Drosophila melanogaster: one gene and its partner. The protein of the gene in region 2 interacts with the protein of the main gene of each other region in a pairwise test. Each region holds a gene or a part of one and is shown on either strand. Other genes may lie near its edges.

Region 1 (4,552 bases), on a different chromosome or scaffold from region 2:
CTCGCTAGCCGTCTTCTTCTTGCCAGGTCTTAAATTGGCCATAATCATATTAATATGAAATTTCCCCCTATTTTTTCTGTGGCCACGCCTGCCGCTGAACTATGTATGTCTCGCCCGCACTCGTGTTCACTCTCGGGCTTCTCTGACTATTGCGCTCTCTTTCGTTCGCGCTCTTTGGTGGGTTACGCTCGCACAGTCACACACACACACGCACACTGATTCACTTTAAATCAATTTTTTTGGCGTTTTTCATTTCATTTTCCCTGTTGCGCATTGCACGCTCTCGCTCGCTCTCTCTTCTCTTTTATCCCGCTCTCTCTCGCTCTTACCCGCCTTGCCTCTCTGTCGCACAATTTAGTCAGGCAGAAAAATACCATTATTGCATTGACCATTTGTGGGCCAGCGCGGGGTTAAGCGTGCGCCGCGGGGGGGTTAAGTGGGTGGTGGTGTGGGTGGTTCCAGTGGGTGGTGGGTTTTTGCGGACGGCGCCTTGGCATGTTTGTTAAGTGAAACCATTTTTCTTTTTATTGCCACGGCTGCGCTGTCGACGTCGACGCCGCCGCTGCTGCTGCTGCTGCTTCAGTCTCGTCTTCTTCTTCTTCTTCTTCTTCCGCTGGGCTCTCTGCCTTTTTTCGCTTTTCGTTTTGTTATTTCTCGCTTTGGCGCACATAAATTTGAACGTTAATGATTTTTGCTTGCAGTTTGCGCGCATGCGACCCTAAAACAACAAGAACAACAACTACAACAACGGCAGCTGACCGTCAAGTGTTGAAAATGAGCTTGTTGTTGTTGCCGCTGCGGCGGCTGCAGTAGTTGTTGTTGTTGTTGTTGCTGCAGCAGCAGGTGTCGCCATCTCACTTTTTAGCACAGACTCAAACCACGAGCAACCAACCAACATTGGTGACACTTTTTTCCCCATTTTTCCCACTGACTGTAGTGGTGCCCCCATCTCACATACACACATATGCGCATTTTTATTAAACAAACACGAAGAAGACGAAACGAACTCCATATTTTTCATTTGTACGCGCCTGTCGCGCCATCCCGCTCGCACCGACTTCGCGATTGTCTCCACAAAACTCCACAACTCGCTGGCCGTAATTTTAATTCGAATCAATTTGTTTGTCGCCGCCGCTGCACTGAGTTCAGCCTTTTGCCCAGTGGGCCGCCGATCCGCTCCACTGTGCACGCTACGCCACATTTCGCTTGCTACGTTCCACTGTGCGGCCAGGATTGTCGCCTTTTTTTTCGGTGTGTGTGTGTTTTAGTGCCTTGTGAATTGAGTCCCAACAAAAAAAAAAAAAAATCGAAGTTAACCAAAAGAGCCTGCTGATTAAAGCGAAGTTAGCGCTAACCCGAAGTAAACACTATCCTGCAGTTAACGTAAGGCTAACCAAGAGCTATGAGGGAATATCAGAAAGAAAGCAAGAAACAATCGAGTCAGTGTTGAATTGAGTTATCGAAATCATTGAGCTAGTGAGGTGACAATATTAAAGGAAAATGAACTAGTTTAATTTGCAGTGTCAGCAAAAGCATTGAATTGTGTGTGTTCATTGCAAACGAGTTAATCGCATAAATTGGGAGCTAATCAAAAGCTAAGACGAAAATGGATCAGCTAATACAACAGCTGCAACAGGCAGCTGCTGCTCGGGGACAAGTCCAACATCCCCATGGTTCATCCGCTTTGCAACTTTACGCGGCAGCAGCGGCTGTCAACATGCAAGTGAGCGGCTGGTCATCCGTTCTCAACTTGTCCATGGATGCCCCAAATCCGGAAATTAGTCCCAATTCCGTAACCAATTCGTCCTCCGTGTATATGATCCGCCAAATGGCGCTGATACAGCAAGCCAGAGTGGCCGCCGCAGCAGTGGCAATGCAGCAGCAGCAGCAACAGCAAAGGGATCTCAATCGGGAGCTTGGCATGGATCCGCACAGTGAGCAGCGTATTAAGTTGGACTCAGTGTCACCCACGCACAACATCCACGCGGGTAAGTTTGATTAATTCATAGGCGATATTACTAGCTTATTCACATTGATTGATTCGATTTCTATGTCAATATTAACTAATATTCAATGGAAAATAATGAATAGAACATAGCTCTGGTTAATAAAAGCATGCACAAAAAACCACTCTATAAACTACGCATTTCGCATTTGGCCAAAATACACGAAATTGCTGGCCAAATTTAATTACGTGAATAATCAACAAGCCGCAACAACAATTACAAGCTGGCAAAAACACACAAAGCTACACACACACGCACACACACACACGCACACACACACACATTGAAAGTCCTGGCCTGCGGGCAAATAATGTTGTTGATTTTGTTGTTGTTGCTGCCGCCTGTTGTTGATTAAAAATTGATCAAAAAACATAAAAACACACGAATTATGCATGCGCGTATTTAAATGCGTGTGTTGCGCGTGTGTGGGTGGCGCTGAATTGATTAAAAGGAGCAATTCGATTGAAATTTTATTGGTAAATTGAATAAAGTGCACGGCGGCATAAAGGCCCCGGCCGGAAAACTTGTTTTCCATTCCAATTCGGCCATTTGGAAAATGCCATTATCTGCGCAAGCTCGACGCAAAGTTAATGAATGTAATGAATGAACAAATGAGTGGGCCACAGGACATCCGGGCATAAAATGTGGGTGGTCATAAATAACGCCATTTCGGAAGTGTCCTTGCCGGGAATTACCGCTAAACGTAGGTGATTAGATGAGATCGGCTAAAATGTAGAGGACATTTTGGAATAATTACTAAAAACTTTAATGGGCTTTTATACATACTATGTTGGTGATGATATTTAATTCATTTCTGATGAGATAATCCTTTTGCCTTTAAATTAGCATATTGTAGACAAGGTAAGTTGAAATAGTGGGAAAATGTTTGACTTACTAAAAAAATGTTGAATGTCATAATAAAATGGGATAATATATTATAGGCCAGTTCAAGCAAATATTTTTCTAAGAAGTTACGCTCTTAATAAGCTGTACTTTTAAAAAAACCAACCAAAACCATTTCCAAAAAAAAAAACATCAACATTTTCTTCAAAAAAACAAAGCACTACGTTTTGTAAGCAAATATTATTTTTATATATTTTAGTTTTATCTTACACTGATTAAATATATTGCTAAGCCTTGAGATCAATGAACAAAGTGGAATCACAATTTGTGAATGGAACGAGGCACCTGGCATCGGGAAATGGGAAATGGTGCATGGGAAATGAGCAGTGACAGGTGAAGTCTTGCTTTCCTTTCGGTGTCTTTTCCTCCTTGTTTTTTTATATATTTTTTTTGCCCAGGTCACGCCCAATCCGGGAAACGCCTGTATTTCCTATTTCGTACCTCGCCCTTTGTCTTTGGTCTTTTGGCAATTGAACCACTTTTGAGGCGCATCCAATTCCGATTCCGAATTGGCCGTCTTGCTGGGCCTCATCCTCCTACTTTTCTCGACGACGACGGGAAATTAGCTGCCATTAGTCATTTTTATTGTTTTCGGTCGCGGCCCCGAAACTACAGAATACAAAAAGAATATATGTATGTAACATGGAGTAAGGCTGAAGGCTGGCAACAACCCGGTTGGCAGCGCTGTTGAGCAGCAACATGATTGTCGGAAATCGAAGCTATCGACAATCAGTCATCGAAGGAACGATCGCAAGGCAGCAGTGGAGTCGAGTGGAAGTCAGCGTTGCAGTCAGTCGAGTTCTCAGCAGCAGTCGTTCGGTCACAAACTAAGAATACTTTACATAATTACCGCATTTAGAATTAAACTAATAATTAAATTAATAATAAACAATAATAATAAACAATCTTACATGGGGGCTCGTCCAGTCCTAAATCGGTTATATGAAGGTGCAGTTGTTTAAAGAAAAAAGACATTGTTGTGTGCGTGGGTATAGTCTTTAAAAGTTGTAAAGTTGTGGCTATATCTATTGCATTTAAAGTTGGAAAAATCAGTTGTACAGATTTTGTTTGAACACAAGTCGGTAAAAGTCGGGAAAGCTGCTAGAGAGAACTGATAAAGTTGAAATTGTCGTGTGCGTGGATTTAGTCTTTAAAGTTGTAAAGTTATGGCTACGTCTACTGCATTGAAAGTTGAAAAAATCGATTGAACTCATACAGACTCAAGTCGTTTTGCTGTTGTGGAATTTAAAACAATTAAATTGCAAAGGTGGTGAAATTCGTTTCTAACGAAAATCAAAATTTGTCTTTTAACCGGTGGCGCCGTCTGCAAAATCGACTACCGTCGCGCCGTTAGAACATTGTCGTTGTTTGCTGGTGTTAGTGCCTTGTCGCGGAATGTTCACACGCACACCACCTACAAATAAAAAACTTAACACCGACCAAATACAAGCAATTCTAGAGAACGAAAGCGAGGACGAAAGCAGAAAAGAAAAAATGAACGAAGAAGATCAAAAGTTGACGCCTGTAGGAGAAGCAGAGGCAAAGAAGCAGAATAAAGACGCTAGTGCTAAAGTCGAAGAGAAATTTGAACAAATGATGAATACTCTAACCCAGAGCATGTTGGCAAAATCTAAACAAGAGGG
Region 2 (4,726 bases):
ATCAGTCAGATTTGTAGACGCTTCTCTAATTGGAAGTAGAGCAGATAGGGAATGGGATCTCTACCAATCCGATGGGAATCGGAGCGAAGAGCACTCCACTTGTTCACACTCCATCCTCGACGCACTAAATTTGGTGTGTAATTCTTTAAATCGTTGCCATGTGTTGGAGGAACGATGCCAAAACCGAGTGACACCAATAATCCGTAGCTGGGATCTGGGACGCCCAGAAAGATATTCAAATCTGTGGCGAAGACTGGAGGGACAAACGGGAGCTCATAACACTTATTTATGCGACCGATGAAATGGGAACATTAGCTCTTTGTGTTTTGTAAATATTTGTCATAATTTCGAGGGGCGCCCAACGACATGTGCGCCTCAACCAGACGATTTTTTTTTTTTTATTTTCAAGGCATTTAAAGATCCCCCACCACCATTGTGCATTTGTTTTCCGAGTTGTGCTTTTAATGTCGCAATTAAATGCATGAGTTTTTAAAAAAATTAGATGCCTGTCAAAATTGTCTAATTTATGGTTCACAGAAAGCTTTGTTCCAAAGTTGTCCCCCCAAAATTAAGAAGCTATTGGGGAACCACCAGCTTCTGCTTTTTTTCAGAATTTTCTGTTGGAATTTCAAACTGAAAATATTCTAATTTCTGCTAAGAAATGCATCTGCTTTAAACTTAAAGACTATCCCTATATTGTGTACTTTTGATTCAACATTTGGTAGATTTGGCTTATATATTCCTTTAAAAAGGTTGGCACAATTAAAAATGTATTGTTTTAATAATAGTTCCCGAAGGAGATCATCTAAATCTTCTCTGTTGTTACTTCTAGTCACGTATCTGCTGAGTAGTATGAAAACCAATTTCCCAGCATAGATAATGAAATTACACACTTGAAGCCATAACTAAATGGCAAACAATAAGAGGTGAAAAGCCCTTTGGCTGAATAAAATCAAACAGCCATGCGAAGTGGCAACCAACTTTGGCCCCCAGGAAATCACTTAGCCACCGTTCGCCGAGGCAGAAAGCATTTGAAGTTAATGGCGCAAAAACCAATCGCAAGTGCCAAGTCAGAGCTGCCAAAGGCAAAGGCGATTGGGGGATAGTCAAGTGCGAGGAATGCGACATTAGTGTTTGCCGAGGTGCCACGAACCACTTGAAATTAAATGGCGCGGCGCACTTCAAACGCCAGAGACAACAGCGATTACCAAATCGATGGCGGTTTGAGCTGATCTACAAAGAAAAGAAAAAGAAGATAGAAAATCGCAGAAAATCCAGAGAGCCCGCCCCCAAAAGCAGAGCAGGTATTACCAAACCAAAGGCCAGCAAACACGCGCCCAGCACACGCACACCACCCAACACCCATCCACTTCGCTAACCAACTCCCACCATCACCCACTTGCCACCATTGTTCGGCGGTGGCATTGATTTGAACGAATCAAAGCGGTATGCGCACTAAAAATACCAACAACAAGCTACCAAAAATCCAGATTAACCATGGCCAGCTGGAAAGGGGGCGTGGCCACGAGAATGGCAAATGGTGGTTGCTGTTCCGATTCCACTTGGACATTATTCCGCCGTTCCAATTGGAACCAGCCGTCGTCTCGCTCGCACTCGCATCGCCGCAACGCAGTGGTGGTGGTGATAGCGTTTCCGCTGAGTGGAAACTCGATTGCCGCTCCGCTCGTCAGTCGCCTGCAGACGCTCGCTGACAGCGGTAAAATCGGAGCAGCAGCAATCCGCATCCGAGCGGGCATTCACATCGAATCGTATATACAACGAGAGCCGTTCTCTCGCTGACGTCGCTGCCAGCGTCGACGTCGCTGCCAAATCTAGGCGAAAATCGCAACACTTGGCATACACAGCATATGGCACTTGGCCGCACTCCGAATCCCTGGCTAAAAGTCAAGTGCAGGAGCAGCAGCAGCCGCAGCAGCAGCAGCAGCGCCAGAAGCAGCAGCAGCTGCGGCGCCAGCAGAGTTTTCCAAGCTCGGCAGCAGAGATTCACTCTCGGTCGGGCGCCGGCGTCAGCGTTCCACGGATCCGTGATTAGGTTTTTACGGTGCTTCAGTCCGCTCGATGACGCCGAAGCCAGCAGTTATGCGCCCAGTAGCAGCAGCATCAGCAGTCAGAGCAGCAGCAGCAGCATTAAAGCCCTAAATCTGTGACACTTCCTTCCGGTAGCCACGTTGCGTATACGCCACCGTAACCGCATTCGCATGCCGTCGCGTAAAAACCAAACAGTTTCAGTGCCAAATCAAAAGAACCAAAGCCAGCTGATAAAAGCCTAAGCTAATCCAAAGATAAACATATAGAAAAAAAAAACTTATTGAATCAGTGATAAAACCGTTATGGACGTGGCCAAAATGCAAGCCACTTCCGGTCAGCATCTGCTGCATCCGGCCGCACCGCCCGCCCACCAACACCACCTGCCCCTCGACTACAGCCTGGGCAACTTTAAGCCAGCCATCGCGTCTGACTTTCCCGGACCCTTCCTCACCAGCCAGCAATCCTCGTCGGCCTCCAATTCCGCCTCCTCCTCCGCCGCCGCCACCGTTCCGCTGCAGGTGCGCGATCTCAGCGCGCTGACGGCCATGGCCACGATACCCTCGCCCACCCAGCTGCTTCACCAGCGCATACAGATGTCCGCGGACGCGGCCTTGGGCCACCACCAGCAGCAGCCGGCACAGAATCCCAATCCCAATCCGAATCACCCGCAGCCACAGATGCCGCCGGCCTCCACGTCGCCGCACGAGTACGCGCCTATGTCCGCCTTCAAAGCGGTGCTGCCCAAGAAGCGAAACTCCGACGGTAAGCCGGAATCACTCACTATATTTGCATGCTCAATCGTAAAAGCTTTGAAAATCCGTCAGCAATTGGGATTTTAGTTCTTGTCACTAAGTGAAATTGAGTTCTGTAAAATTTTGTTAAGTGCATAAATCGTATCAAGTTCATTGTCTCCAAATAATTCACTTTTGAATGTGGTTGATTGCTCATTTTTATATGTGATGATTTATATTTATTGAAATTCAGTGGCAAACCTGTGGCAATTTATTTATACAATCACTATAAATTGTATCAATAATTAATTACTTCGTATTTCAAAAAAAGCCTTCCACATATAAATATAGATGCATATTCCAATTGCATATTATTTATTCCATTTAGAAAGTTATCATTTTGTATTTCTAAAAAATTAAGTAGTCTCGTAAATATTTCAAAATTTTGCTAGAAAAATTCATCAAATATAGATTTTAATATTTAAATAAAATAATTCCTTAAAATTAAATCTGACCAAGTTTCTCAGAGATTTCTGAAGAATTTACTCTATTTAAATATTAGTAAATCAATAGATCGTTAAAAAAAAATGCAGTGAATGATATTCAGCGCATTTCTGAGTATCAACATTTATCAAATTAAATTTTTGTGCAGCCTGCGAACAGATTGGCATAAACCCAATCACACTCCCACCACATTTCATATGCCCCGAGTTAATTAAAAAAAAAAATGAAAACAAAAGGGACTGAAATCAACAACACAGAAACCGAAACAGAAACGGTGAGACTCCAATCCGCGGCGAGTGGCTACAAATCCCCCAAAGGCTGGTCAGCGGGCAATGTAGGAATTTTTAAAAATTTATTTGAATAATGTGTGATTTTAAAATATCACACACTGGCCATGTCCGAGTGAAAGCCCAAAGGCTGCACGGTGTCGGTTTAATTGGAAAAAAGCCCAAGTACGGTGGGAAAGCGTGGAAAGCAAAAATTGTTCGGGGGCAGCAGGAGCTGGCCGGGATATTCATTATTCCGTTTGTGTGTGTGTGTGTGTGTGTGTGTGTGTGAGTGAGCGCGACGCTTAATGGGCAAATCTTCTGTGCGGACATTGGGGCGGAAAAATGGATATCGGGGATTGAAAAATCCATAGCTGGACCACAGATACACAGATACAGATACGGCTGCGAACGGCAAACCATCGAACAAACTTGTAGATACACAGTTCAGTCCAGTCCAGTCCAGATACATCCACACACACAAGTGTGCTTGTGTATCTGTGTGCAGACGGCGTTGTCATCGCCATCGCTGTTGAATTTCAAATATGGGCATTGAATGAATGAATGAGCGTTCGCACGGGATCCACAAGCTTCAGTGTTGTCCGAAATGAACCGAACAATTTGGCTTTAAAAGGACTTTAAGAAATTAAATTCCTTATAAAATGGATTTCAGTATGAACCAATTTTGTTTTAATCTTTCACTAGCTAGATGCAGACAGCTGTGTCTCCTTTTTCCAAACTTTAAGTAGATTCGGACTTTTCCAGCCAAGCTGTCAGCACTGACCGTCATGTGTGTGTGAGTGTATCTCCCCTCTCTCAGTCTATCTTCCCTCCCATATTTCCCCACTCACACACACACACAGATACAGAATCAACACACACAGGGCAGCGACAAGCGGATTTCATTTACCGGCATTACATGTATCCAACGGATATGTTTTTAGCTCTCCACCGCTTCCAGCACAGACATGGATATGCGGAAAAGCAGACACACACACCAGACACACACACACACAGACGCACGCAAACACACACTCGCACACTGAATTTTCAATTCCGTTTGCCGCGACAAGCACCCCGACTTCCCCCCCCCCCTCTTTTCCAACCTTATTCTTTCTCTAGAGAAAATGAATTTCGCTTTGTTTGTTGGAATATTTTCTCGGTTTTTGGTGGGAC

Evidence for each region. Proteins that work in one complex are often made in the same cells at the same time.
Region 1: the proteins of sens-2 (region 2) and OdsH interact in a two-hybrid assay, tested with the Drosophila melanogaster proteins (one large-scale study listed by BioGRID).

Annotation. Positions count from the first base shown.
Region 1 is NC_004354.4:17,789,461-17,794,012, forward strand, and holds the start of OdsH (Ods-site homeobox), read left to right. Parts: upstream 1-1,549; 5' UTR 1,550-1,606; coding exon 1,607-1,988; intron 1,989-4,552.
Region 2 is NT_033779.5:6,820,249-6,824,974, forward strand, and holds the start of sens-2 (senseless-2), read left to right. Parts: upstream 1-1,685; 5' UTR 1,686-2,351; coding exon 2,352-2,811; intron 2,812-4,726.